Linked DNA regions of Callithrix jacchus. The protein of the gene in region 1 interacts with the protein of each later gene in a pairwise test. Links are inferred from orthologs where the notes say so. Each region holds a gene or a part of one and is shown on either strand. Other genes may lie near its edges.

Region 1 (9,058 bases):
CAAAGGGGAGGCAGGGCACAGGCTCGAGGAGGAAGGGCTACACTTTGGCTGTAGAGTACAACAGGCATGCAACATGGGAGGGCGGGCCTTATGAAATGTATATACAGACCCCTTGGGGTGAGGGGCCCCGGCCAGGAGGCACTGAGCAAGGGAGGGGTCCATCTCCCCCCTGGCCGGGAGGGGGGCTCTGGGGCAATCTCTAAGGGTTGCATATCCCCAGGGAGAGGGGACAGCTGCCACTCCTGCCTCTGTTCTCCCAGCCCAAAGCGGAGAGGATGCTGAGCAAGGAGAAGACAGGTCCCAGAAGCCAAGAAGGTGTTGGCATCCCTGTCATTGAACTCAGGGGCCCAAGAACTCTTTGCATAAAATATCTTCAGACCTAAGAGATGGTCAAAGGCACAAAATTTAAACATGGGGGTGGGGGGGTGTTGAGAGGAGTCTGGGGTACCCTGAAGCCCAGAGGTGTGATTCGTTCCCCCTTACCCAGAAGGGTGACTATTCCACTGGGCCTGTCACCACAGGACATTTTCTATGACAAGCACTCACCTTCTTGGGGAAGGGGCATCAGGTTGGCACAGGAAAGGCCCAGGTAAGGGGCCACTCTGTACATTAATACTTTGGTGATTAATGTTTGGGGAGAAGTAGGATTCTCCCCCTGGCTTCTGACTCAAACCCTCTCACTCAGCTGGATACAAAACCCAGTGTCCACACTACTCCCACCTCTGACACAAGGCCAAGACCACAGAACACTCCCAAATGAGGTCCCGAGAGTTAGGGAATAGGGTGGAGGGGACTGGAGGGCATCTTCTGGAAGACAGCACTGGGGCAGATCACAGTTTCCGCTCCACAGGTTGCTGTAGACACAGTTCGCTGCCCGCAGAGATGATGGGCAAGTGATTGTCCATGTGGTAGCTGATGAGGTGACTGACACTCTCAAAGCGGTGATCCTTTGTCCGAACCTGGGAGGGTGGGAAGGAAGGTAGGCAATTCAGGTGAAGAGTCAAGACCTCATCCTCCAAGGTGGAAGAGTGTGAGAGGCTTAAAGGAGAAAAAAATGGTGGGAGAGGGAGGGGCCTGTCAGTCCTGATCATTGAGGCTTCTCTAAAAAGAGTTGTAGGAATAGACAGGTCAGTGAAGTGGGAAAAGGCAAAGGAGGCATCAGCCCTGAAACAGGGAAGCTGAGACCTATATACCCCTTTCTTGACCTGGAGGAAGTTGGCATGTCTCAGAAGAGTATACACAGTGCAAAAAAAGATGTGGAGGCCAGGAGTGGTGGCTCACACATGTAATCCCAGCACTCTGGGAGGCCAAAGCAGGTGGACCACTTAAGCCCAGAAGTTCAAGAACATCCTGAGCAACATGGCAAAACCCCATCTCTACAAAAAAAAAAAAAAAAAATTAGCAAGGTATAGTGGTACATGCCTGTAGTCCCAGCTACCTGGGAGGCTGAGGTGGGAGGCTGAGGTGGGAGGATTGTTTGAGCCCCGGAGGCAAAGGCAGCAGTGAGCTGTGATTGTGCCAACACACCCCAGCCTGGGTGACAAAGTGAGACCCTATCTCAAAAAAAAAAAAGAAAAAGGAAAGGAGGGTGAGATTACTGTAGAAAACAAAAGTTTTTTGTTTCCAGACAGGGTCTCTGTCAGCCGGGCTAGAGTGCAGTGGCACAATAATGGCTCACTGTAACCTAGAACCCCTGGGCTCAAGCGATCCTCAAGGCCTCGGCCTCCTGGGCAGCCAGAACTACAGGCATGTTTCACCATTCCTGACTAATTTTTTATTTTTTTACTTTTGTAGAGACCAGGTCTCGCTATGTTGCCCAGGCTTGTCTTCCCACCTCAGCCTCTCAAAATGTTGGGCTTACAGGCTGGAGCCACCACACGTGGCTAAACAACGGAAGTCTGGAGGAACAGTAATGCAGTACAGGTAAGGGGAAGCACAAGGGTCTGAGTCCTGAGTCTGGGGAGCTGGGGAAGCCCGTGGGTCTTCTTACAAAAGGAAACTTGCAGTGTCTAGCCTCTAACCATCTGAGTTTGGGCATCACAACCTCTTCAGAGTGGTCTCCTCATTTGTCAAAAGAGGGGCACAGATGATATAGATGACTGCCTTCTAGCTCTGATAAGCTTACGGCTTGGAGATTTGAGGAGGAGCCAGGGCTGTATTTATTTTGTTTTGTTTTGTTTTTTTAGGCAGAATCTCACTCTGTTGTCTAGGCTGGAGTGCAGCAGTGTGATCTCAGCTCACTACAACCTCCACCTCCCGGTTCAAGCCATTCTCCTGCTTCAGCCTCCTGAGTAGCTGAGATTACAGCTGTGTGCCACCACACACAGGTTTTTGTTTTGTTTTGTTTTGTTTTTTTTGAGACAGAGCCTCAATGTGTCACCTCAGTTCACTGCAACCTACACCTCCCTGGTTCAAGCGATTCTCCTGCCTCAGCCTCCCAAGTAGCTGGGACTACAGGTACAGGCTACCACACCCGGCTAGTTTTTGTATTTTTAGTAGAGACAGGGTTTCAGCATATTGGTCAGGCTGGTCTCAAAACTCCTGACCTCAGGTAATTCACCCACCTCAGCCTCCCAAAGTGCTGGGATTACAGGCGTGAGCCACTGTGCCTGACCAATCTTTATATTTTTACTAGAGACTGGGTTTCACCATGTTGGCCAGGCTGGACTCAAATTCCTAACCTCAAGTGATCTGCCCACCTTGGCCTCCCAAAGTGCTGGGATTATAGGCGTGAGCCACCATGCCTGGCCCTGTGCCAGGACTATAAAGGACACAGTTCAGGCTAAGGGATAAGCCCCTGGAGGAAGATGCCAGACACCTTGAAGAGCAGAGAGGCCCACAGAGAGCTGCCCAGCAGGAAATGTCTAGAAAGCAATGGGGGAAGGAACAAGAATGCACTGTAGGGTACTGTACCTTCCTTTCTGCCACCCCTCACCCTCACCTCTGCCATACTCACCACACCCTCAGGGTCCACCAGTAGCAGATGCTTGGGCTGCCCACTCTGCAAGCCAGTGAGCACATACTGGCCAGGTGTGGTCGTGCTCTCCCGCACCAGGAAGTCCCCGTTGAGCTGCAGCAGTGCCTCAGCCTCCCGCCGGCTCAGCTTCCCATGGAACCAGGGCTCCCCTCGGAGCTGCTCAGCCATGGTGACCGACTGGGGAGGTGGAGGCACCCGAAGAGCATCTTCAAAGGGCTCTGGAGGTGTAGAGAGAGGGTGAGGGGAGGTAGCAGGCACAATACACACCCAAGACCCAGACTTCAGGGAAGGAAAGAGCAGATATAGGCAGGGGAAGGGCCAGAACCAAGTAGGAAGATAGGGATGCAGAGAGGAGAGAGGAGCACTCACTCATGTCAAATAGGTCCCGGGGCGCACTGCCATTGATGGCAGGATTGGGGGGCCCAGCACCACCCCCTGCTTGCCGGGCCTTGTCTAGGTTCTGGACGTTGACGTAGGAGGGATCATCAAAGAGCTCTCTGCCTGCTGAGGAAAGGGAGGCTGTACAGTGATCCCGGTCCTGCCTCCAGGACTCCCCAGCTCTGCCCATCTCGGCTCCCTTCATACCTGGACAGGGTGGTGGAAGTGGCATCTGTTTGCGGACTTCTGGATCTCCTCCAACAGGCTGTCCTATAGGCTGCAAGGATGAAAATAAGGTGGAACCAGAGGCCCTAACCAGCCACTCCCACCCTAGGCCTCCATCCAAACAACTTACCAGTGTAGCTCCCAAGTGGCTGGGGGTCTGGGCAGTGGGCGGAGTGGCTCCTTCCCGAAGCCTCATGTCTACTACCCCCCCAAGAGGGGGTTCCTTCCCCGGGAAGTCATTATAGTACTGATGGTCAGGTGGCTCTTCCTCCTCCTCATCCCAAGCTGAGCCATCAAAGCCAGCCATCCTGAGAGACAGGACAGTGAAGGTGTGGCCGTAAATGTGTGGTGGGCAGGAGGAGGGAACGGAACAGCAGCCATGTATTCGGTATTTACTATGGGTTAGGCCTGAGGCTGAGTGTGTTATATACCTAATCATTTCATTCTCCTGGCAACCCCATAAGATAGGTATTGTTTTCTTTCCTAGTTTTACAGATGAGGCAAATGAGGATCAGTGGTGAAAAGATTTGCCCAAGGTCTCACAACTAAAAGGTGACAGACTCAGATTTAAATTCAGGTTTGACTTTAAAGCTTATGCCCTTGGGCAGGTGCAATGGCTCATACCTGTAATCCCAACACTTTGGGAGGCCAAGGAGGGAGGTTGTTTGAGCCTAGGAGTTCAAGACCAGACAGGGCAACGTAGTGAGACTGCCTCTACCAAAAAAATAATAATACTTAGCCAGGTGTGGTGGCATGCACCTGTAGTCCCAGCTACTCAGGAGGCTGAGGTGGGAGAATCACTCAGCCCAGGATATGGAGGCTGCAGTGAGTTGTGTGATTACACCACTGAACTCCAGCTTGGGCAACACAGCAAGATTCTGTCTCAAAATAAAAAAGTAATGCTCTTGCCCTTGATCACTGTGCTATCTGCCAGCAAGGAAGGGAAGCATTATGTAGTGAGGTGGGGAGAAGGCACTACAGAATAGTTTAACCTCTCCTAATCAGTCCCTCCTGGCGCCACTGCTTATCCCTCACGGCCAGAGGTGGGAAACACTAATCTCAGGGAAAAGAGATATCCTCACAAACCCAAATTCTTGATGGCTTCTGGAAGCATTAAAATACAGAGTGTCAGAGAAATGGGCAAGCAAGAGGGATGGGAGTAGAAAAATCTCATCTAGCCAGAGAGAGAGATGTAACTTGGATGCCTCAGACTGCAGCTCCACCATGAGCAACAGGAGGAAAAGCTGGCCCTGCAGCAAGCAGGGCCTCAAGAGTCTTTCCTTGTGGGCCACAGGAAATGGAAGAATCACAGGAAGGGGGAAGCAGAGGCACGCAGGTTATTCCCTCCCTAAGCCTCTCAGCTCAAGTGTAGGAAGAGCAGCCCTCCTTTCCCAATCCTGTTCTGGGGCTTAAGAGCTGCTGCACATCCTCCCCACCTGCTCACCTGTCATGGGGGGTGACCAGTTTGGGTGGGTTCCTGAGGTATTGTTTGAAGCGCAACTCGAAGGCCTGACCAATGGTGCTGATGACATCCTGGGCAAGCCCTTCAGGACACTCCAGAATGTGGCAGGCTGAGGGCACAGCAGAGGCGGTCATTGAGCTGAGCCCACTGGGAGGAGGCATAGACAGGGCCCTCATCTTCCTCAGCAGGAACCCCTACTTAGCTCTACTTAGCAAAAGCGGGTGCAGACCCCAGGTCCCGCTCATCTCCTCAAACAGCCGGACCCACCCAGTGCTCCCCACCATGCCTCACCTCTCTGATTCACAGGGTCTTTGGCAACATAGGCGACATACTCGGCTGTGTCCTGGGGAGGAAGGTCAGAAAATGTTACAGCTCCACTTTACTCCTAACCCCTAAAACCCCGTCCTTTTCAGATATCCCCACAATCCTAGCACCCCCACTTCTCTAATAAATGTCTTCCCAATCCCTAGCCCCTTGCTCTTCTCCCGCCACCTTTGCTCTGTTCCCCAACTCACCGGATCCCCGCCGGATGCAAATGAGATAGATTGCATGTGGTGGTTGGCGATGATCTGAGAATCAGGGCAGGGGATGAAGAAGGAAGGGAATGCCATGCGTCAGGCGCCTCAGGGCCCAGAACCCTCACACCCAGTTTCATTCTCTGGGTTCCTTATCCCATATCCTCACTTCCTCCGTCCCTACTGGTCTCTTGCTCTCAAGCCCTCTTCCTAGTTTTTGGCCTCCTAACTAGATCTCCCCTTAGCACCCCCACCAGTGTTTCTAGTCCCCCTGCCCAACTCCACCAACCTGCTTGCAGTCTGCGGCCATGAGGTTGAGGCTGCTGGTGGAGATGGTGAGAGTGATTGGCATCCCAGCAAATTTCAGGTTACTCCTTCCCAGGATAGAGCTGAGCGGGCGGCTACAGGGCTAAGGTAGGGCCCAGGGTCTCAGAAGGTGAGGGTTCCCAGCTCCGGCAAACCACACTCTTGCCTTCTGGCCTTCCCCCACATGCCCCACACTTGCCTTCCCCCTGCCCCTCACATCTCCCAGCTGCATCCCTATCCCCAAGGACCCCAGATACCTTTCTCCTCCTTGTCGCCCCCTTAGCACCCGGCACAGCCTCACACACCAGACTGATGGCCTCCCTGGGGAAAGAGGGGTACTCAGACCCAGTGCCTGCCTGCTTCCCACTCAGCTGGGGCTGCCACAGGGCTGGGGGAGGGGAAAGCCAGGCCAGACTCCCAGGGCACTCCAGGCTCTTTGTCGTGGTGGATTGAATTAAGGGCCTTTAATATTTGATGACACTGAGAGGCCGCTTCCTGGCTGATTGGGTTAGGGCCTCAATGGGTACAGACCCACCCACTTCCAGCTACCAAATGTCCCATTCCCTTCCCAAAGGCAGCAGCAACCTTCCATCTACCCCCATTTTCTACTCCAGCTCTACCTGCCAGCTGCTTCTGCCACCTTCCCCACAACTCCCAAGGATGGATAGGTAAGGAGGATCCAGGCCAGAGGGGCCTCCTTTCAGTAAGATACAGAATTACCACCAGCTTTCTCTCAATCCCCTCCACTACCCAAAGATCAGCCCCCACCAGCAGCACTCAAGTGACCACTCCCCTCCTCCCTTTCCTGTGGCCTCACTAACCCCGGGACTCCCCCAATCCACTCCCTCCCCACTAACCTGGTGACCTGAGTCCGGGTGTTGAAGTCCAGGGCACGCATTGACTGCAGGACCTCCACACAGCCCATGTACTAAGCGGAAGGAGGGGAGGACAGCAGGTCAGCAGCTCCCCCACCCCAGCCCCTTCACAAAGGGCCCTAGGACTTTGCCCACATGGTCCTTAAGGGAAGTAGAGATGGAGAGGTTCTGCCCACTTCCCGTGGCTACATCCCACAATCAAGGTGAAAGACAACAGGGAATGAGGAGAGAAAGAAAGGCAGGCTAGAAAGAAGGACCTCGCACTGGGGAGAGAGTTTGGAGGGGACCGACAGGCATTGGCTGGGATGGAGTGACAACTCCAGAAAGCAGGAGGAGAATGGAGGGGAGGATCAATAAGTCACTCATTCCAACACTTACTAAGAGCTTCTGCCATGCTGGGCATTGTGCTAAGCATGGCAGGGTAGAGGTGGGGGTGGGGGAGTCAAAAGAAGGAAGGGGGCTCAGGCAGAGCTGGAAGGGAAGGGACTACAGAATCAGGGAAGGGATGGGAAAGGTTTAGGAAATAGGACACTGAAACGGGGTTGTAGAACAGCAGGAGAAAAGAGATTCCAGCCAAGCTGGAGTGAGCAGAACTGGGGGGGGGGGGGGGGCGGGGGCTGGGAGGGAGTGGAAGAGAGAATGTTCACTCACCCGAACCAAGTAGCAAACCCCGGGTCCCATGACTTTGTCGTTGGGATGCAGCCAGCCCCGTGTGGGCTTATTGACAAAGCTCCCGTGGCGGGTCCACTCCTCGCCCCCCAGCTGGCCCCCTTCCACCCGAGTCCTGCGCCCGCCGCCTCCACTCAGCTTGTTCATGTCCTGGAGGAGGGGTAGGGGGCCTGAGTCTGGCATGGCTGCCCCTACGATCCCCTCCCCATCATCGGCTGCCCTTCCTGGCTCCCCCTTAGGCCCGGGGCGCCCCCCAGCCGGATTGGCGAGCCTCAGGTTGCTCATCCGCGGGAAGAAGGAGCACAGGGTAGTGGGACTATCGTCCCCAGGCAGAGGAGGCAGGATGGGTCCCAGGGATGAGGCTGATGGGGAAGGCAGCTCCTCCGGGGGGGTGGACCCTGAAGCCCCCTCCTCCAGCGATGACAGAGACTCATTCCGGAGTGGATTGTACTTGGGCTTAGGGGGCAGGAGATCCATAGCTGAGGTGAGAAAGGGGCTGCTGCCCGGCCTGGCCCCCCTGCCAGTTTGGGCAAGGGGGCCAGGCAGAGGGTATCCCCAGGCCCTTAGCCTGGTCGGACCTCTGTGGCCCAGGAGTCACAGAAGTCCTGGGGAGGGAGAGGGACAAGTGGGTTCCGCTCCCCAGCTCAGACCCAGACAGTTTCAGGCCCCATCCCCGCCCAACGTGGAGCCTCTTCTCTGGCTGAGAAGAGAACAGGCTGGACCCAGAGCTGCCTGGCTCCTCCCTGGGGGCGGGGAGCTAAGGAGAGAGACCAATCCGGAGGACAGTGCTGACTCACAGGCTCAGAGGGGCTGAGCCCCACCCTGCCCCAACCTCGAACTCTCCCCAGCCCTATACAAACAACTAGTAATCTGGGGAGGAGTAAAGTGGGGGGTGGGAGGAGAGGATGGAGAAATAAGACGGAAAGGAGGGAGATAAGAGGAGGTGCGGGTCACTGGAAACCGGACACAGGCAGACCAAAGGGGCCAGGAAGCCAGGCGAGAGTAGAGAGGAATGAGGGAGGAAACGGAGGCAACTGGGGGTGGAAAAGGGAGGAGATCTCAGAGCTCAGCATTTCCCTTCCTGTCCTGGTTGAACACTAGAATTCCCCCATTCTCGAGCCCAGGCCACCCCGCACCACTACCACATACAGTGAGCCTGGGCCATTAGCATCCTCTGCTACAACAGCTGTGGACTGGAGCTAGCGAAGTGGGGATGGGAAGGAAGTGGTCCCAATGGATGCAGAGCAGGGTCAAGAGGAAGAGCAAAGCTGGTGAAAATCAGGGAATAAAGTCCAACCTGGATGGTACATCAGGAAGCTACCAGGCAAGAAGTGAACAAGAGGACATGCTGGTCACAGCTTGTTCTCTATGCGCGGCATCTACCACACCAAAGAGCTATGGCTCACAGCCAAGCACTATCCAGTCTCCCCTTTCCACAGGCTTAACACAGTACATTGTCAAGGGTGAGAATGAGGCCTCAGGTCCCCACACCCACTCCAAACCACCCCACTTCATATCCCTGCTCTTACAGGGCCCTAAGCCCCACCAAAGAGTACAGTGTCCCTCACACCTGGGAAGGAGCCTGGCTGAAAGAAGAAACAGTTCTCCAAGAGACATAGAAGCTACACGCCAGGAAAGGACAGAGAGATCA
Region 2 (10,476 bases), on another chromosome or scaffold:
AGCACAGTAAAACTAAAGAACCCAGGTGCAGGTGAGAACGTGACAGGAGAGAGCCTTCCAGGAGGAGGGATTGGCAAACCCAGAGGGGTCAAGTGAGGTGAGGCCGCAGGAGACGAAACTGAGAGATGAGAGATTACCTCTGAGAGCCATTGGTGAAGTGGCGGAGACGCAAGCCAGACACCGGGGGCTGAACGGTGGGTAAAGAGTGAGATGGCAAGGGCGGGGAGGGCTGACAGAGGGAAGCTGGACAGGGTGGAGGCTGGAAGTCAGTGGTGGGTAAGGGGGATTGGGGGATACTGGGTGTTAGAGGTTGAAAAAGCATGTGGGTAAATAAATTTTTTTTTTTTTTAGATGTAGTCTCACTCTGTCACCCAGTCTGGAGTGTAGTGGCTCAGTCTCGGCTCACTGCCACTTCCTCCTCCTGGGTTCAAGAGATTCTCCTGCCTCAGCCTCCTGAGTAGCTGGGATTACAGGTGCCTGCCACCACGCCCAGCTAATTTTTGTATTTTCAGTAGACAGGTTTTCACCATGTTGGTCAGGCTGGTCTCCAACTCCTGACCTCAGGGGATCTGCCCGCCTTGGCCTCCCAAAGCGCTGGGATTATAGGTGTGACCCATTGCGCGCAGCCAAAGATTCCTGAACAAAGAGAGGAGACAGAGCAAGAGCCCAGATGGGGAAATGTCTCAGACAGGGAAAAGGTTAACTCCTCCAGTGCAGTGCTTGGCAGTGTCTAGAGACATCTGTGGTGTCATGACTGTGGGGAGGGGATCCTACCAGGACCAAGTGGGTGAAGACCCGGGTTGCAGCTCAGTACTCTACATACAGGCCAGCCCCCACCACCAAGAATGATCCAACCCCCAATGTCAGCAGTGCCCAGGTTGAGAGCCCTGCTTGAACCACAGAAGAATGGAAATCAAGGACGGAGTGGGGTGAGGTGGGGACCCCAGGGGACCCAGCCCACACCCTCTGGCCTCTATGCATAAGTCTGGAAGGGCAAGATGGAGGTCTCCAGGAGAGAAGCAAAAGGTAAGAATAACTGCAGAGGCCAGGCACCATGACTCATGCCTGTGATCCCAGCACTTTGGGAGGCTGAGGTAGACGGATTATTTGAGGCCAGGAGTCTGAGACCAGCCTGGACAAAATAGCAAGACTTCATCTCTACAAATTAATAATAATTTTTAAAAACTAGCTGGGCATGGTGGCATGCAACTGTGGTCCCAGCTACCAGGGAGGCTGAGGTGAGAGGATGGCTTGAGTACAGGGAGGTCGAGGCTGTAGTGAGCCGTCACTGCCCGACTGTGGCTGCATTGCAGCCTAAGCAACAGAGCAAGACCCCATCTCAAAAAATAAATACAGTAAAACAAATAGATAGCTAGACCAATAGAGACAAAAATCACACTGATTTTCCTCCACCCTTCATGCCAATCAAAATGCCATATTAGAGCCGGGATTGGTGGTTCATGCCTGTAATCCCAGCGCTTTGGGAGGCCAAGGCAGGCAGATCACTTGAGATCAGAAGTTTGAGACCAGCCTAGCCAATGTGGCAAAACCTCATCTCTACTAAAAATACAAAAATTCGCCAGGGGTGGTGATACACCCTGTAATCCCAGCTACTCAGGAGCGTGAGGCAGGAGACTCACTTGAATCTGAAAATTGGAAGTTGCAATGAGCAAAGATCTTGTCACTGCACTCTAACCAGGGTGACAGTGAGACCCTGTCTCAAAAAAAAATGCTGGGCATGGTGGCTCATGCCTATAATCCCAGTACTTTGGGAGGCTGAGGTGGGCAGATCACAAGGTCAGGAGATCAAGACCATCCTGCCTAACATGGTGAAACCCCATCTCTACTAAAAATACAAAAAATTAGCCAAGTGTGGTGGTGCTTGCCTGTACTCCGGAGGATGAGGCAGGAGAATCTCTTAAACATGGAAGGTGGAGGTTGCAGTGAGGTGACATCACGCCACTGCCCTCCAACCTGGGCAACAGAGTGAGACTCCCTTTAAAAAAAAAAAAAAAAAAAAAAAAAGTCTTATTGGTTGACATTAGAGATTAATGATCTGAAAAGTTCTTTGCCCCTCTCCAAGCCTTCAAGAGGCGTCACGCCCGTTTATTTGATAGGATTTTGTTCACCATTACCCCAAGCATGGGAGGTATGGAGGCTCACACTCAAAAGAACAAGGATCTGTTAAAAAAAAAAAAAAAAAAAAAAAAAAAAAAAAAAAAAACCATTGCTCTGCAGCCACGCTAGCTAGATTGTAATGCCAGCCCTGCTGCCTGCTGGCCCCAAGTGGAGTTTTCTCACTTGTGAAAAGAGACGATTAAACTGCACCTCGTGGGGTTTTGTGGTGAGGATTAACTGAGATTATATATGCAAAGCACACAGAACAGCACCTGCTGAGGCCTTGCTCTTATAATTCTTAGAAAGGTATTAAGCAGAGAATGAGGAACTCCTTACGAATAAAGGCACCCAGTACACCCAGGGATTCCACCACCTGGGCTCCAAATATTTGCCAAACACCTACTATGTGCCAGGCACTGTTCTGGGCTCTCGAAATGCAGAAGTGAACACTGACAACAACAGCAAACCGTAAACCCCTGCCCATAAGGAAGCCATAACTGTGCAAATAAATGGCAAATCCATTTACTGATCCTGAAAGCGCAGGCACAGATCCACAATTCATCACCAAAGCTGCAAGGAACAGAAGAGCAAGGAACCACACATAGGCACACACAGAATTTGGCATAGTTCTTTTTTTTTTTTTTCTGAGACGGAGACTCTGTTGCCCAGGCAGGAGTGTAGTGGCGCAATGTTGGCTCACTGTAACCTCCAACTCCCAGGCTGATTCTCCTGCCTCAGCCTCCAGAGTAGCTGGGATTACAGGTGCGCGTCACCATGCCCAGATAATTTTTGTATTTTCAGTAGAGATAGGATTTCACCATGTAGGCCAGGATGGTCTTGATTTCCTGACCTCATGATCTGCCTGCCTCGGTCTCCCAAAGTGCTGGGATTACAGGCACGAGCCACCATGCCTGGCCTGGCATAGTTCTAAACCACTCTTCTTGGATTTTCTTAACAAGAACCCAAACTAACTGCCACCCTTCATTGAGCACCTGCTGTCTGCCAGGCCCTGGGGTGGTGGTGGTGGGGCTTTTAGACATTATGTAATTGATAGAGTCAACTCCGCAAACCCGGTTGGTCCACTCCAGCACCTCTGATTTCACATCTACCCCGTTCTCCCTCAATACATTAAGGAGCTTCAGTTCCTTCCCTCTCCGACCCCTTCCTCATCACCACTGATTTCCTTTTATGGAGAAATCTGCAACAGTGACACAACAAATATTTTTAAAGCAGGGTCTCAGACCCTACAGTGGGAAACCCAGGCTATATTCTCTTAAATGATTACTCCATCTTCATTCTACAACCGCAAAGGCGTCTTCAAGGAAGATGCTGCTCCCACGTGGGAGAGCCGGTGGGGGTCAGGGGGAATGAAAGGCTCTTTCATGAAGGGCAGAGCTGAGGGGAGAGGAGGCGTTAAGGAAACAGCAGGTGAAGGACAGTAGTCCAGATTCTTGGGCAGAACAGGGAGCAGAGAGATTCAGGTCCTGGCTCTGGCACTGACTTTAGGGCAAGGGAGCTATGCGTTTTACCTGAGCCTCAGTTCACTCCTCTGTAAAATGGGTGCATAACTGTAACCGCTTCCCGGGGCCACTGTGACAGTCCAGAGAGATAAGATAGACCAGCGTGTGGCCTGTGGTGACACCAATTACAATAAACATGGCCAAAAAAAAAAAAAAAAAAAACACGCCACTACTTCTGCCACAATTGCTGCTGTTTCTAAGGCTTTAGAATGTGCCTCGGGACATCTGGAAACAGAACCCAAAAGGGAAACCATGGACCTAGAGTCCGGGGTGGCCACTGGCCTAGATCCAAGATATCGGGATGGAGCTGGGGGCGGGTTCTACAATCCCCGACCCCAGGCAGCGTCTCCCACCAGTGAGGCACTCAGGGCACTTGGCTCCATCTACACCTTATGCGCTCCGGGGATGGGCTGTCCGGAGCTGCCCAGACCGAGTGACCCCACTTCGCAGCCGCCACCCAGAGAGGACGCGTGTGTTGTCTCCAGAGCGACTTGGCCTCGGAGAGACCGGGGCTCTGGTCGCAGGGGCGATCCGGAGAGGCGCCCGCGGCGGGGCGGGCACTGGGGCAAGGTTCCTCGGGCTCAGGTCGGGCACGCGGGGCGCGGAGGCACGAGTCCGGGCGGGCAAAGGCCAAGGTCAGCGGCTTCCCGCCCCGCACGCGGAGCAGAAGCGACCGCCCGAGCCACCGACCCCAGCCCCCCGTCCTCGGAAGGGGTCTCAGTCCACCAGCGGGGTGGGGGGAGGAGGGCTCTCTTTTGTCTCGGGTTGGGGGGGTCCTCTCCCCATCGCCTTGCTCCCCGCCCACTCCTGCGCCCCCAGACTCACCCTCTCCAGGGTACATTTGGCCCGCGGCGCCCAAGAGCAGCGCGGCCACCGCCACCAGCAGCGGCGCGGCCGCCGCCCCCCGGCGGCTCCCGGCTCCCATGGCTGCGGGGAGCTCAGGGTCTCCTCGGATCAGAACGCGCGGTGCGGACCCGCGGGGGTCATGCCGCAAGGCGGCCGCCCGAGAGGCGCTGGGGGCCGCGTGTCCTTCTCTTCCACGCGGGCGATCCGCGGGCCGCAGCGCCCCTGCCCGAGATCTGGGGTCCTAGAGGCAGCCCCGGGAAGGGCGCGCGCGCGGCCTCGCCCGCTACAAAGAGAGCTGGGAGGCCCCGCGGTAGCTGCCCCGACCCCCCGGCCGCTGCGGGCCGGGCCCCGTCCCACGATCTCGAGGCCCGGAGCTCTGCGCTGCGCCCGGGACTGTCTCCTGGCTTTCGGCCCCGCGCACTCTGGGTCGCGATCGGCGGGCTCCGGGACAGAGGGACTCGCGGACCGAGGGACCCGCTGCAGGGCGGGCGGGCACCTGGGCGGGCGAGTGGCTGGTGGCGGGCGGCGGGAGTGAGGGCTGCTCGGGCCGTAAACAAGGCGACCCGTCAGCTGGGCCCCTTGCGGGCCGAGGGAAAAGGCGGCGCGGATCTGGCCTGGGAAGGGACTGTGCGCCCGGGAGAGGCCCGGGAAAGGGAGGGAAAGCGGGGGGCCGGGGAGGGAGGTGGCGCCCGGCCCCGCCCCGCCTCCCCGCCTCCCCGAGCCGGGCCCCTCGCTGGAGGCCCTGGGCGCGCCTGGACCGAGGGGCCGCCCCAGATCCGCGCGCTCTACACCGCCCGAGTCTCCTCCAGCCTCAGACGCCCCCAAAGGCGCCCCACAGGCCTGACCCAGCGACATAAATCCTTTCTCTACCATTTTGCTCTTTTGTTCGGAGTGGGGCTTTGGAGGATTTCTGTTAATAATTTTAAAATACTGCATTAAAATATTTACGTTGGTGACTCGAGGTGGGTTCGGTTTTTTGTTTGTTTTTGTTTTTTGTTTTGTATGTGTGGTGTATTTGTGGGGGATTAAATTTTGCACCTCAGGCGAGTAGTTGTTCACTCACCGCCTTTCCCTCATCCAGGCCTGGCCAGACACACTCGTCCCAGAGCGGGTGGACGCTCCCAGATGTCCCTCCCGCGCGTGCGCCCCCACCCAGAGGCAAGACCCAAGTCAGGCCCCTGGGGACAGCCACGTGCCTGCGTGTCCAGTGCGCTCCCTGTGTTCAAGTTGGAGAAAGACACCTGGGAAAATGTGCAGAAGCTTCTGAAAGGGGAAAGACGATGCAGGAGACCTCGAATAGAGGGTGGACATGTCTGATTATCAGCAGACCAGCCTGTGTGTGTCTGAACGTCTAGCAATGTCAGTCACGAACAAGGCGGGACAGCGGTTCCACCCACCATACTGAAGGAGAGGAAGGGGCTTTCAGTGTAGGAAAGCCAGAACTCAGTGGGAAAAGGGTTCCTCCACCCCTCACTCCTGTGTAGTCTTGGACCAGCTACTTCACTATGTCCGGGCCAGTCTTGCTTCAGTGATGGGTTTGATAATACCTGTACACCAGATCTGGGAAGGTACCCGAGGGAGAAAACTTAAGAATGCACACAGCACAACCGTAGACCCAAGGCATTCATTCTCTTTATTTTTATTTTTATTTTATTTGAGTCTTGCTCTATCGACCAGGCTGGAGCGCAGCGGCTTGATCTCTGCTCACTGCAACCCCCGCCTCCTGGGTTCAAGCAATTCTCCCGCCTTAGCCTCTCAAGTAGCTGGGACCACCAGGCATATACCACCACGCCCAGCTAATTTTTGTATTTTTAGTAGAGACCGGATTTCACCATGTTGACCAGGACGGTCTCAATCCCCTGGCCTTGTGATCTGCCCACCTCGGTCTCCCGAAGTGCTAGGATTACAGGCATGAGCCACGGCGCCTGGACCGTTCTTCCATTATTAAAGAAATAGTTTGTTCAGAGCTGGGCCCACTCTTCTTGCAAAAGGCCAAACTTCTGGCTTCATCGCTGCTCCAAGGACTCATCCCTACCACATTTTGGAAATCCTCCCCCCAGTTCCCTGTTCCCTTCTTTTTTTTTTTTTTTTCTTTTTTCTTTCTTTCTTTCTTTTCTTTTTTTTCTTTTTTTTTTTTTTTTTTTTTTTTTTGAGAAGGAGTCTTGCTCTGTTGCCCAGGCTGGAGTGCAATGACATGATCTCGGTTCACTGCAACCTCTGCCTCCTGGGTTCAAGTGATTCTCCTGCCTCAGCCTCCCAAGTAGCTGGGATTACAGGTGCCCACCACTGCACCCAACTAATTTTTGTATCTTTAGTAGAGACGGGGTTTCACCATGTTGGCCAGGCTGGTCTTGAACTCCTGACCTCAGTTGATTCACCCGCCTTGGCCTCCCAACATGCTGGGATTACAGGTCTGAGCCCCTGCACCTGGCCCCTTCTCTCTCATTTTCATAGCATGCTTACCTCTCTGCCTGAAATTATTTTCTTCTCTTTTCTTCCTTCCCTTTCCTTCCTTCCTTGTCCTTTCTTTCTTTCTTTCGTTCTTTCTTCCTTTCTTTCTTTTTTCCAGAATCTTGCTGTCACCCAGGCTGGAATGCAGTGGTGCAATCCTAGCTGACTGGAGCCTTGAACTCCTGGCCAAGCAGTCCTCCTGCTTTGGCCTCCCAAGGTGCTAGGATTACAGACATGCGTCACTTTGATTGGCCTTGACATTCTTATTCAATGTGTTCTGTGTTTTCTCCTCTCCCATGAAGGCAGAAATCTTTAAAGTCTCATTTCACTGATTAAACTCAGTGCCTGGCATAGCTGTTGCTTAATAAATATTTGTTGAGTGGGAGAATCAACAAGCAATAAGTAATATGGGATTTTTCAGTGAGCAAAATCAGCATGATCCATTTCTTTACGAAGTTCACAACTGAGCTTAGGAGAGAGCCCTTAAAATAATTGAGCGTGTGATGAGTTGAGGGGAATAGGAGGGGCATAGAGAGGGATCCACTGAGGGCGGCTTTTGTTTGTTGGTTGGTTGGATTTTGAAAAATCACGCTCTGTCCCCTAAGCTAACTTCAGTGGTGCGATCTTGGCTCACCACAACCTCCGTCCCCCGGGGTTCAAGCAATTCTCCTGCCTCAGCCTCCTGAGTAGTTGGGATTACAGGTGCCCGCCACCATGCCCAGGTAATTTTTGTATTTTTGGTAAAGACAGCATTTTACCATATTGGACAGACTGGTCTTGAACTCCTGACCTCAAGAGATCCACCCTCCTCAGCCTCCTCAAATGCTAGGAGTACAGGCATGTGAGCCACCGCACCTGACTGAGGATGTGGTTTTCAGCTTAAGTCTGAAAATGAAGAGGAGCCAGCCTAGGGAAGCCATGGAGAAGTGTTTCAGGTCGAGGGAAAGGCATGAGGATAGGCCCAGAGGAGGGTGAGCAAGACATTCTTACAACTGAACCAGTCACTCACTGTAGCTGTAGAAAAGAAAGAGGAGACGCTGGGCGTGGTGGCTCACGCCTGTAATCCTGGCACCTTGGGAGGCTGAGGCAGGTGGATCATGAAGGTCAGGAGTTTGAGACCCCCCATCTCTGCAAAAAATACAAAAAATTAGCCAGGCTTGGTTGCATGCACCTGTAATCCCAACTTGGGAAGCTGAGGTAGGAGAATCATTTGAACCTGGGAGGTGGAGGTTGCAGTGAGCTGAGATTGTGCCACTGCACTCCAGCCTGGGCAACAGGAAGAGATTCAGTTTCAAAAAAAAAAAAAAGAAAGAATGAGGAGAAAGTGAAGCCATGGGTAAGAACTGCAGTGGAGCCTTGAACCATGAGTTTGAACAGTGCAGGTTTTTTTTTGTTGTTTTTTTTTTTTTGGCAAAGTCTTGCTCTGTTGTCCAGGCTAGAATGCAGTGGAGCTATCTCGGCTCACTGTACTTTCCACCTCCCAGGTTCAAGTGATTCTCCTGCCTCAGCTTCCCAAGTATCTGGGACTACAGGCACACACCACCACATCTGGTTAATTTTTGTATTTTTAGTAGAGACAGGGTTTCACCATGTTGGCCAGGCTGGTCTCAAACTCCTGACATCAGGTGATCTGCCCACCTCAGCCTCCCAAAGTGAGGTCATCTTTTAAGCAGAATGTTTTTCAATAAATATATTGGAAACAGTTTTAGAGATCTGCAGCAATTTGAGAATTCTTGCAGATGAACTTGGTGACCAAGAAATATCCAAAAAAATTAAGTTAGGTATGTCACGAGTGCATAAAACATATGTAGATATGTTTTATTATTTTATTTTATTTTGGGGGGACAAAGTCTCACTCTGTCACCAGGCTGGAGTGCAGTGGTGCAACCTTCACCCCCCCAGTTCAAGTGATCCTCCTGCCTCAGCCTCCCTAATAGCTGGGATTACAGGCATGCGCCACCATGCCCAGCTAATTTTTGTATTTTTAGTAGAGACAGTGTTTCACCATGTTGGCCAGCATGGTCTCCATCTCCTGACCTCATGATCTGCCCACCTCAGCCTGCCGAAGTGCTGGGGTTACAGGCACAAGCCTCTGCACCTGGCTTATTATTTTCTTTTAGTGACAGGGTCTTGCTCTGTTGCCTAGGCTGGAGAGCAGTGGCCCAATCACAGCTCACTGTAACCTCCAACCCCTGGACTCAAGTCATCCTCCTGCCTCAGCCTCCTAAGTAGCTGGAACTACAGGCAAGCACCAACACCCCCAGCTAATTTTTTTTTTTTTTTTTTTTTTTTTTTACTTTTTGTAGAGACGAGGTCTCACCATGTTGCCCATGCTGGTCTCAAACTCCTAAATTCAAGCGATCCTCCTGCCTCTGCCTCTCAAAGTGCTGCGATTACAGCCATAAGCCACCATGTCCATCCCTATTTTATCATTTACCAGCATAAAATATACATAAATCTATTATTTTTAAGTGTATTAAAACATACACACACACTAACAAACCATGCATGGTGTTATTTGAAGTTAAGAGAAATGTAAATAAATCTAAACATGCACCATTCACTCATAACTGCATAAAATTAACTGCGGCTGTATTGTGTTACTGTTATAATTTCACGGCCACCTCCTGCTGCTGGAGTGAGTGCAAGCGTTGCAAGTATCCGCTTAAAATGTCATGTTATGGGCCGGGCGCGGTGGTTCAAGCCTATAATCCCAGCACTTTGGGAGGCCGAGGCGGGTGGATCACGAGGTCAAGAGATCGAGACCATCCTGATCAACATGGTGAAACCCCGTCTCTACTAAAATTACAAAAAATTAGCTGGGAACAGTGACGCGTGCCTGTAATCCCAGCTGCTCGGGAGGCTGAGGCAGGAGAATTGCCTGAACCCAGGAGGCGGAGATTGCGGTGAGCCGAGATCGCACCATTGCACTGCAGCCTGGGTAACAAGAGCGAAACTCCGTCTCAAAAAAAAAAAAAAAAACGTCATGTTACACTAATGATCTCCCTGTGGGCAGTTCGCCTCTCCAGGAAATAGTGCCCCAGGGAAAAGGGATCTCTTGTTCCTGTGGATTTTTCACTGGGTTTAGCGCAATACCATAGATACTGAATAACATCACCAGACCCATGTGAAGTGCCACTAGTGTTGTTGGAAGTGCTCCCAAGAAGCAGAGAAAAGTTGTACAGTACAAGAAAGGGGGTAATTGCTTGATATGTAACAAAAATTGAGCTCTGCAGCTTCAGTTATCCATTTCAGAGAGATAATTCATCTCATAAACAAATGTATGGCATTGATAGATATTGTAGCGTTCTGTAACTGTAAATGTATTTTCCTTGTGGCTTTCTTTTTTATTATCTTTTTTGAGACAGGTTTTCACTCTGCTGCCCAGACTGGAGTGCGGGGGCTCTATCAGGGCATGATAGCCTCTACCTCCTTGGCCTTCAGTGATCCTCCCACGTCAGCCTCCCAGGGAGCTGGGAGTACAGGCACGTGCCACCATGCCAGCTGTGATTTTCTTAACAACATTTTCTCTTCTCTAACT
Region 3 (9,735 bases), on another chromosome or scaffold:
TGCCAAAGTGGATTAAAAACATGACTCAACTATATGCTGTCTACAACTCACTTCGAACAGAATACAGGCAAGTCGAAGTTAAAAAAATAAAAAAAGATATATTATGCAAACAATAATCAAAGGAAACCAGCTGTGGCTACATTAATATCAGATAAAGTAGACTTTGGGGCAAATAAAATTACCAGAGACAGACATAAAATAATTATAAACATGCTGGCTCACCAAAAAGACATAGCAATCCTACATGAGCATACATCAAATAACAGAACTGCAAAATATGTGAAGCAAAAACTAATAGTACTGCAAAGGCAAATAAACAAAATTAGTTATAATTAGAGACTTCAACCCCCCTCTCAACAATTGACAAAAGAAAAAAATCAGAATGAATACAAAAGAACTCAGTACCACCAACAACCAATATGATCTAGTTGACATTTTACTGGATATACCAGTATACTGGATATACCATGTTGGTATACAATGATATACCAACAACAGAATACACATTCTTTTTATTTGCTCACAGAACATGTATCTAAATAGACCATATCCTGGGCAATAAAAGAAACCTCTAGAAATGTAAAAGAATTGAAATCATATAGTGTGTTTTCTGACCACAATGAAATCAAACTAGAAGTCAACAATAGAAAGATAAGAGTAAAACTCCAAATATTTAAAAACTAAACAACATACTTCTAAATTCTGCAAGGACTAAAGAATAAAAATTTAAAATACCAAAATTTACAGAACAGCTAGAGAGAGCAATGTTGAGAGGGAAATTTATAGCCTTAAATATTTACATGAGAAAGAAGTCTCAAATCAATAATCTAATATCTCAGGTGGAAAACCCAAAACAAGTAAAATAAACCCAAAACAAGCAGAAGGAATGAAATCATAAAAAGAACATTAAAAAGTAAAAATAAAAAATGAAAAATAAATTTTAAAAGAACTAAAATAAAGGAAATTGAAAACAAAACAATTAGAATAAGAAAAAAAACCATAAAACAATGAAACGAAGAGTTGGTTCTTTAAAGAGAGAAGACACAAACTATCAACATAAAACAGGGATCATTACTATAGACCCTGCGGATATCAGAAGAATAAGGAAGTACTACAAACAATTCTATACATATAAATCTGACAATGTAGAAGAGTCCAATACCACAAAAAGCACAAACTACCAAAATGTACTTAATATAAAATACATCATTTGAATACCCTTTTAACTATTAAAGAAATTGAATTCATAATTTTAAAAATTCCAAAAGAGAAATCTCCAGGCACAGATGACTTCATTGGCAAAATCCATTAAACATCTAAAGAATGAACAGCAATTCTACACAATCTCTTCTACAAAATAGAACACTTCAGTATTCATTTTATGAAGTTATTATTATCGATAATAAAACCAGATAAAAACTGCAGTACAGAAAACCAAAACTAGAGACCAATATTCATGAATATAGATGCAAAATTTTCTCCCAAAAGATTAGCAAATATAATTCAGCAATATCTAAAAAGAATTTTATACCATGACCAAGTGGGGTTTATGCCACAGAGGCAAGGCTGGCTCAAAATTTGAAAATCAACCAATGTAACTCACCATTTTCTTTTTTCCAGTAAGAAAAATCATGTGATCATATCAATCTATCCAGAAAAAAGCATTAGAAGTCAGTATATTCCTGAGAAAAGAACTCAGAAAAAAAGAAGTCAACATCCATTTATGGTAAAAATTCTCAAAAAAAAAAAAAAAGAAAAAAGAAAAAGAAATAGAGCGGTAATTCTTCAACTTGATAAAGAATATCTAAAAACCTGGTCAACCTTATTCTTTTTGATGCAATACTAAATATATTCTCTCTAATACCAAAAATAAGGTAAGAAAGTCTGCTTTCATAGTGTTGGAAATTCTAGCCAGTGCAATAAGGCAAAGGGGGAAAAAAGGCATAAAGATTAGGAAAAAAAAAAACCTCCCCTTCTTTGCAGATAACATTACTCTCTCTATATAGAAAATTCTAAGGAAGCTACAAAAACATTCCTGTAAGTACAGTTCAACAAAGTCATAGGATATAGGAGAAACATATAAAAATCAATTATATTTCTATATACTAGGGACACTGAAATTAAAAATATCACTTACGGCCAGGTGTGGTGGCTCAGGCCTGTAACCCAGCACTTTGGGAAGCCAAGGCACTCAGACCAAAAGGTCAGGAGTTCAAGACCAGCCTGGCCAACATGGTAAAACCCTGTCTCTACTAAAAATACAAAAATTAGCTGGGTGTGGTGGTGTATGCCTATAATCCCAGCTACCCAGGAGGCTGAGGCAGGAGAATCACTTGAACCCGGGAGGCAGAGGTTGCAGTGAGCAGAACCCACACCATTGCACTCAAGCCTGAGCAACAGAGAAAGACTCCTCTCAGAGAAATTTATATATCACTCACAATCACTCAAAAAAGTGAAATAATTAGGTACAAATCTAACAAAACACATACAGCATTTGCATGCTGAAGACTACACAATGCTGATGAAAGAAAACAAAGATGTGGCTGGGTGCGGTACCTCATGCTTACAATGCCAGCACTCTGGGAGTCTGAAGCAGGAGGATTTCGAGTTAGAGAACAGCCTGGGCAACATGGAAAGACCCCATCTCTACAAAAAATAAAGTAAAAAAATTAGCTTGGTGTAGTGGCATGCACCTGTGGTCCCAGCTACTTGAGAGGCTGAGGTGAGAAGATTGCTTAAGCCCATGAGACTGAAGCTATGCCATGAGCCATGTTCACGCCACTGCACTCCAACCTGGGTGACAGAACAAGATTCTACCTCAAAAAAAAAAAAAAAAAAAATCAGAGATTTTAAACAAATGGAGAAATATGTTGCGTTAAAAGACTGGAAGGTGTTAATCCTTCTCAAATTGACATATGGGTTTATTAAAATTCCTATTTGTGGATATAGACAAAATTATTCTAACATTTGAATTAAAAAGCAAAAGAACTAGAGTGGTCAAAACAATTCTGGAAAAAGCAAAGTAGGACAAATCACTCTACCTGATTTTAAGACTTAATGTAGAGCTACAGGTATTGGTGGAGGGATAGCTGCACAGATGAGTGAAACAAAATAGGAAAAGAAATGAACTATGACCTAAACCTTATACTGAAATTAACTAGAAAATTAACCTTATGTAAAATATAAAGCTATAAAAATTTTAGGAAAAATAGCATAAAATCAGGATCTATGGCTAGACAAAGAAATCTTATCAGCAAAAGCTCAACTGATAAAAGGAAAAACTGATATACTGGAATTCATCAAAATAAAATACTCTGCTCCATAAAAGCCCATATGAAGAAGGTGAAAAGACAAGCCACAGAGTGGCAAAAAATATCTGCAAACCACATACCTGACAACGGACTAGTATCTAGAATATATAGAGAACTCTCAAACCTCTACAGTAAAGAAGAACAAACAATCCAATCAGAAAATGGGGCAAAAGTCATTGATATTTCACTAAAGAGGATATAAGAGTGAGAAATAAGCATATGAGAAAATCCTTGACATTATTAACAACTGAGGAAATGACAATTAAAACAACAATGAGATATTACTACATATTTATTAGAATGGCTAAAACAAAAAATAGTCAAAACATCAAACGCTCTTGAAGACATAGAGAAACTGAACCACTCAAACACTGCTAGTGGGAATGTAAATGGTACAACTACCCTGGAAAACATTTTAGCAGTTTCTTTAAAAAAAACTAAACATGCAACTACTATATGACCTACAGCTGCATCCCTGGGCATTTACTCCTTAAAAAATAAGAACTGACGTATCCAAGACTGAGTAATCTATAAGAAAAAATTAATTAATTAATTAATTTTAAAAAAATTAAAACTGTCAGCTGGGTGCAGTGGCTCGTGCCTGTAATCCCAGCCTGTTGGGAGGGGGAGGCAGGCGGATTGCCTGAGCTCAGGAGTTCAAGGCTAGCCTGGGCAACACAGTGAAACCCCATCTCTACTAATATACAAAAAAAAAAAATCAGCCAGGTGTGGCAGCATGTGCCTGTAGTCCAGCTACTTGGGAGGCTGAGGTAGAAAAATTGCAAGAACGTGGGAAGTGGAGGTTGCAGTGAGCCCAGATCGCACCACTGCACTCCAGCCTGGGCAACAGAGCAAGACTCCATCTCAAAAAAATAAATAAATAAATGTTAAAAAAAATTTTTTTAAATAAAAACTGTGTTCACACAAAAACCTACACCCAAATGTTTATAGCAGCTTTACTGACAATAGGACAAAACTGGAAACAATCTAGACATCCTACAAGTGACTAAACAAACTGAGGAATAGTACACACATTGGACTATTCAACAGTAAAAAGGAGCAAGCTACTGGCACCTACAACAACCTAAGTGAAGCTCCAGAGAACCATATTAAGTAAGAAAAGCCAATCCCAAAGAGTCACATACTGTGTGATGCCATTTTTACACTTTTGAAATGATGAAATAAATAGAAATGAAAAACAGCACCAGGCACAGTGGCTCACACCTGTAATCCCAGCACTTGGGAGGCCAAGGCGGGTGGATCATGAGGTCAGGAAATCGAGACCATCCTGGTCATGGTGAAACCCCATTTCTCCTAAATACAAAAAATTAGCCGGGCACGGTGGCATGCGCCTGTAGTCCCAGCTACTCAGGAGGCTGAGGCAGGGGAATGGCTTGAATCCGGTAGACGGAGGTTGCAGTGAGCCAAGATCGTGCCAGTGCACTCCAGCCTGGCAAAAGAGCAAGACTTAGTCTCAAAAAAAAATAAAAATAAAAACAGCTTAAAGTGTTCTTGCAGTTAAGGAAGAGGTTGGTAGGAGAGAGTGAGTTTGGCAGCATGAAGTGTTCCTTTGGTGATGGGAATATTCTTCCGCTTGACTGGACTGATGTCAGTATTCTGGTTGTGGTGTAGCAGGACAGTTTCACAAGATGTTACTGTTAGGGGACACTGGTGAAGGGCATCATGCTGGACCTCTCCCTGCTATTTCTTACAATACTGTGTGAATCTACAATTACAAAGTTATAATTTTAATGGTCTAACCCTCTCTTAAAGCTAAATAAAGCAATTGTGAGATTTATTGCTATGGTTTGAAAATGCTACATGAGAAGACCCTTGCACAGTTGAGTTTGACTGACTTGGTAGAGATGACTGGAGAGTAGGAGTACGCACATACATCTTGGTCCCATATTTCATTTATTCATTTACAACTTAAACCCAAACTACTTCCCTAAGAGGACAAGTGTTTCTACCTTGGCACCATATAAATCCGAGTTCTTCATCAGAAACTCTGCTGATGTCCGCACTGTGACTCCGGTTGTCTCACACTGCAGCACACAGTTTTCCAGCGTAGTCTTTCCACGGTGAACAACTGTGATGAAAATACACACTGACTGCTTTAAGATGTAATGTGCCTTTTCCAGTATTAGAGATAGCCTGATGCTTACATTAGATGTGGACTAAATATTTCTCAAAATCTACCATTTAAATTTTCTTACCTAAATTACAAATTCATAAAATATAAAATGATGATGATTTTTAGTTACTTTCTACAATCTAGAAGCAACATTCTTTAAAAAGAATGACTTGAGCTCAGATACAAAAAGACTTTTCATTACTAGAAAAAAAAAGTATCAGAGAACAATTTTGCTGAGTATCTCAGAAGAAAAAGACCTTGAATCAAGAAACGGGATACAAAGATTCCAGTAAACAAACACTACTGCCATGTGGAGATAACTTCAATCTAGTGCTACCCTGAATACAGAGAACACAGACCACAACACTGGAAAGTTTTAAAAAAAAAGTCACTGCACAGAAAAGAAACTAACATTAACAAATTATCATGAATAGGTTTAGTTTTCACTTCAAGGTTAAGTTTGCTAAGTCGTCACACTATGCACATAAACAAATAATTTTTTGGGCCATGCATGGTGGCTCACACCTGTAATCCCAGCACTTTGGGGAGGCCAAGGCGGGCAGATCACCCAAGATCAGAAGTTCAAGACCAACCTTGCCAATGTGGTAAAACCCTGTCTCTACTAAAAATACAAAAATTAGCCATGCGTGATGGCAGGAGCTTGTGATCCCAGCTAGTGGGGAGGCTGAGGCAGGAGAATAGCTTGAACCAGGGAGGCAGAGGTTGCAGTGAGCTGAGATCACACCACTGTACTCCAACCTGGGCAATAGACCAAGACTCTGTCTCAAAAAATTAATAATTTGTGTTTATACTGATGAGCATGTGCATTTATACTAATGAGTAGCATGTTTCTAATGTGTCTATTAAGTGTACAAAAAGCATTATGTTCTTTTAAAATGTGTACATCTTAATTTAAAATACTTTATTTTGCTAAAACATGCCAACACTCCTCTAAGCCTTCAGCAAGACATCATCTTTTTGCTGGTGGAGGGTCTTATCTTGATGGCTGCTGACTGATCAGAATGGTGTTTGCTGAAGGGTAAGGTGGCTGTGACAATTTTTAAAAGTAAGACAACAATGAAGTTTGCCACATTGACTCTTCCTTTCATGAAAAGACTTCTTTGTAGCATGTGATCTTGTTTGATAGCACTTTACCCACAGTAGACAGTTGTTCAAAATTGTAGTCAATCCCATCAAAGTCTATCTCTGCTTTACCAAGTTTACATAATATTCTAAATCCTTTGTTGTCATTCCACCATGTTCACAGCATCCTCCCCAGGAGATTCCATCTCAAGAAACTACCTTCTTCGCTCATCCATAAGAAGCAACTCCTCAACTGTTCCAATTTTTGTAAGATCGTAGCAATTCAGTCACGTCTTGAGGCTCTACTTGGTATCATCAGGCTCTTGCTATTTCCACCACATCTGCAGTTACTTCCTCCATTCAAGTCTTGAACCCCTCAATCATCCATGAGGGCCGGAATCAATTTCTCCAGAACTCCTGTTAATGTTGATATTTTCACCTCCTCCCATGAATCAAATGTTCTTAATGACATCTAGAATGATGAATCCCTCCCAAAAAGTTTTCAATTGACTTTGCCGACCCATCGGAGGAATCACTATCAATAGCTGCTATAGCCTTATGAAGTATATTTCTTATGTAGTAAGGTTTGAAAGTCGAAGTTACTCCTTGATCCATGGGCTGCAGAATAGATGTTATTAGCAGGCATGAAAACAACATTAATCTCCTGATACACCTCTATCATAGCTCTCAGATGGCCAGATACATTGTCAATAAGCAATCATATTTTTAAAGGAATCTTTTTGTTTTCAGTAGTAAGTCTCAATAATGGGCCTAAAATATTCAGCAAACCATGTTATAAACAGATGTGCTACCATTCAGGCTTTGTTGTTCCATTTCTAAGGCACCGGCAGAGTAGATCTGGCATAATTCTCAAAGGCTCTAGGATTTTCCAAATGGTAAATGAGCGCTGGCTTCAACTTAAAGTCACCAGTTACATTCATTCCTAACAAGAGAGTCAGTCTGTCCTTTGAAGTTGTGAAGCCAAGCACTGACTTCTCTCTAGCTATGAAAAGTACTAGATGGCATCTTCTTCCAATAGAAAGTTATTTCATCTAAATTGAAAATGTGTTGCTTAGTGTATCCTCCTTCATCAATTACCTTAGCTAGATCTTCTGTAACTTACTATAGCTTTTTCATCAGCACTTGCTGCTTCACCTTGTGCTTTTATGTTATAGAGATGGCTTCTTTCCTTAAACCTCATGAACCAACCTCTACTATCTCCAAACTCTTCCTCTACAGCTTCCTCACCTCTCTCAGCCTTCACAGAATTGAAGAAGTTAGGGTTCTGCTCTGGAATAGGCTTTGATTTAAGGAATGTGGTAACTGATTTGATCTTCTATCCAGGCTACAGAAACTTTCTCCATATCAGCAATAAGGCTGTTTCACTTTCTTATCATTAGTATGTTCACTAGAATAGTGCTTTTAATTTCCTCTATGAACTTTTCATTCACATTCTTAACTTGGCCAACTGACACAAGAGACCTAGGTTTTAGCCTGTCTCAGTTTTCAACGTACCTTCCTCACTAAGTTAAACATTTCTAGTTTTTTAATTTAATGTGAGAGACAGGTGACTCTTCCTTTCACGTGAACACATAGATGTCATTGCAGGTGTATTAGCCTGTCTAATTTCAATATTGCTGTGTCTCAAGGAATAGAGTGGTCCAAACAGAAGGAGATAGGGGAATGGCTGATTGGCGGAACAGTCAGAACCCACACAATTATCAGTTAAATTCACCATCTTATATGGATGTAGTTCATGGCACCCCAAAACAATTACAGCAGTAACATCAAAGATCACTGGGCACAGATCAGCATATCATCTGTAATTTTTTTAAAAGGCTTTCAATACTGTGAGAGTTACCAAGATCTGACACAGAGACACAAGGTGAGCATATGCTATTGGGAAAATGGTCCCAACAGACTGGCTGGAAACAGGGTTGCCACAACCTTCAATTTGTATAAAACTCAGTATCTGTGAAGTGCAACAAAACAAGGTATATCTGTACTCGAGTGGCATTTCATTAAATTCTATCTTCCATAGAGAGTACAGTTTTCCTTCAAAGCTTAGAAGAAACAATACATCAAACATTCAGATACTTACTTAAGATCCCCTCTACCGCATTGTGCTGAACAAATTTTATGCCTGAGATTTTAATATCAGCACCCGTGCAGTCCACAAAAGTGTCACCTTTGCCCCTCTCTTCTATCACAATGTCATCTGGTAGCCCATATCCTAAGAAAGAAAGAACAAGAACACTTAAGATGGGTGAGGAAAAACATCTAAATAAGAACACTCTAGAACAGGTTTCTTGAGTTCAAATGACTGCAGATGATGAGACCAGTCAACCATGTTGTATTTAAATAAAATCTCTCCCTACATATTCTGTTTGATTTAAACCATGGTATCCAATTTTTAACAATCACCACTCTCTGACTAGTCCCCATATCAAGATGACTACCCTATCAACTATCTCACATCAGCTCAGCACTAAATTCACTTACAAAACTGCTGTAAAAAATAAATAATGTTCAAGACCAGCCTAGGCAACACAGTGAGACTCCATCTCTACAAAAACTAAAAAAAAATTAGTCAGGTGTGGTTGCATGTACCAATTACTCACTACTCAAGGAGGCTAAAGTGGGAGGGTCACTTGATCCCAAAATGTTAAGGCTGCAGTAAGCTATGAGCATGCCATTACACTCCAGCCTTTACTCTGGGTGACAGAATGAGACCTGGTCTCGAATGAATGAATCAATGAATGGACTTACAGTTGAGTCAAAGAACTTGAAAGCATTCACCCTTAGAAGTTTGCTTCTAACATTCTATGATTCTAATATAAATTACATTTGAATAAACCTAAGCAGTTCTCAAGATGATCTAATTTTAATATTCTCTTAAACAGTTGGCTTTAAATCTGACAAACTGACTACTTACTAGAAAAAAACAGTCTACCTCATTAACAAATAAAAAGCATCAGATAGAGGCTTGGCATAGTGGCTCACACCTGTAATCCCAGCACTTTGGGAAGCCGATGCAAGTGGATCACTTGAGGTCAGGAGTTCGAGAGCACCCTGGACAACATGGTGAAACCTCGCCTCTACTAAAAATACAAAAATTAGCTGGGTGTGGTGCATGCCTGTAAACCCAGCTTCTCAGGAGGCTGAGGCAGGAGAACTGCTTGAACCTGGGAGGCAGAGATTGCAGTG

The links.
Region 2: the proteins of SHC1 (region 1) and INSR interact in a two-hybrid assay, tested with the Homo sapiens proteins (2 studies listed by BioGRID and IntAct). The link is inferred for Callithrix jacchus from reciprocal best matches to the Homo sapiens genes SHC1 and INSR.
Region 3: the proteins of SHC1 (region 1) and SHCBP1 interact in a two-hybrid assay, tested with the Homo sapiens proteins (2 studies listed by BioGRID, with this or other methods). The link is inferred for Callithrix jacchus from reciprocal best matches to the Homo sapiens genes SHC1 and SHCBP1.

What each region holds. Positions count from the first base shown.
Region 1 is NC_133519.1:15,377,704-15,386,761, forward strand, and holds SHC1 (SHC-transforming protein 1), read right to left. Parts: upstream 8,106-9,058; 5' UTR 7,885-8,105; coding exon 7,390-7,884; intron 6,792-7,389; coding exon 6,721-6,791; intron 6,185-6,720; coding exon 6,121-6,184; intron 5,967-6,120; coding exon 5,847-5,966; intron 5,612-5,846; coding exon 5,558-5,611; intron 5,386-5,557; coding exon 5,334-5,385; intron 5,152-5,333; coding exon 5,025-5,151; intron 4,490-5,024; exon of another isoform or gene 3,889-4,489; coding exon 3,711-3,888; exon of another isoform or gene 3,633-3,710; coding exon 3,563-3,632; exon of another isoform or gene 3,482-3,562; coding exon of another isoform or gene 3,479-3,481; coding exon 3,347-3,478; exon of another isoform or gene 3,196-3,346; coding exon 2,783-3,195; downstream 1-2,782. UniProt on the Homo sapiens protein: Signaling adapter that couples activated growth factor receptors to signaling pathways. Participates in a signaling cascade initiated by activated KIT and KITLG/SCF.
Region 2 is NC_133523.1:6,879,026-6,889,501, forward strand, and holds the start of INSR (insulin receptor), read right to left. Parts: upstream 5,053-10,476; 5' UTR 4,564-5,052; coding exon 4,464-4,563; intron 1-4,463. UniProt on the Homo sapiens protein: Receptor tyrosine kinase which mediates the pleiotropic actions of insulin.
Region 3 is NC_133521.1:3,955,863-3,965,597, forward strand, and holds part of SHCBP1 (SHC SH2 domain-binding protein 1), read right to left. Parts: intron 8,762-9,735; coding exon 8,630-8,761; intron 5,401-8,629; coding exon 5,282-5,400; intron 1-5,281. UniProt on the Homo sapiens protein: May play a role in signaling pathways governing cellular proliferation, cell growth and differentiation. May be a component of a novel signaling pathway downstream of Shc. Acts as a positive regulator of FGF signaling in neural progenitor cells.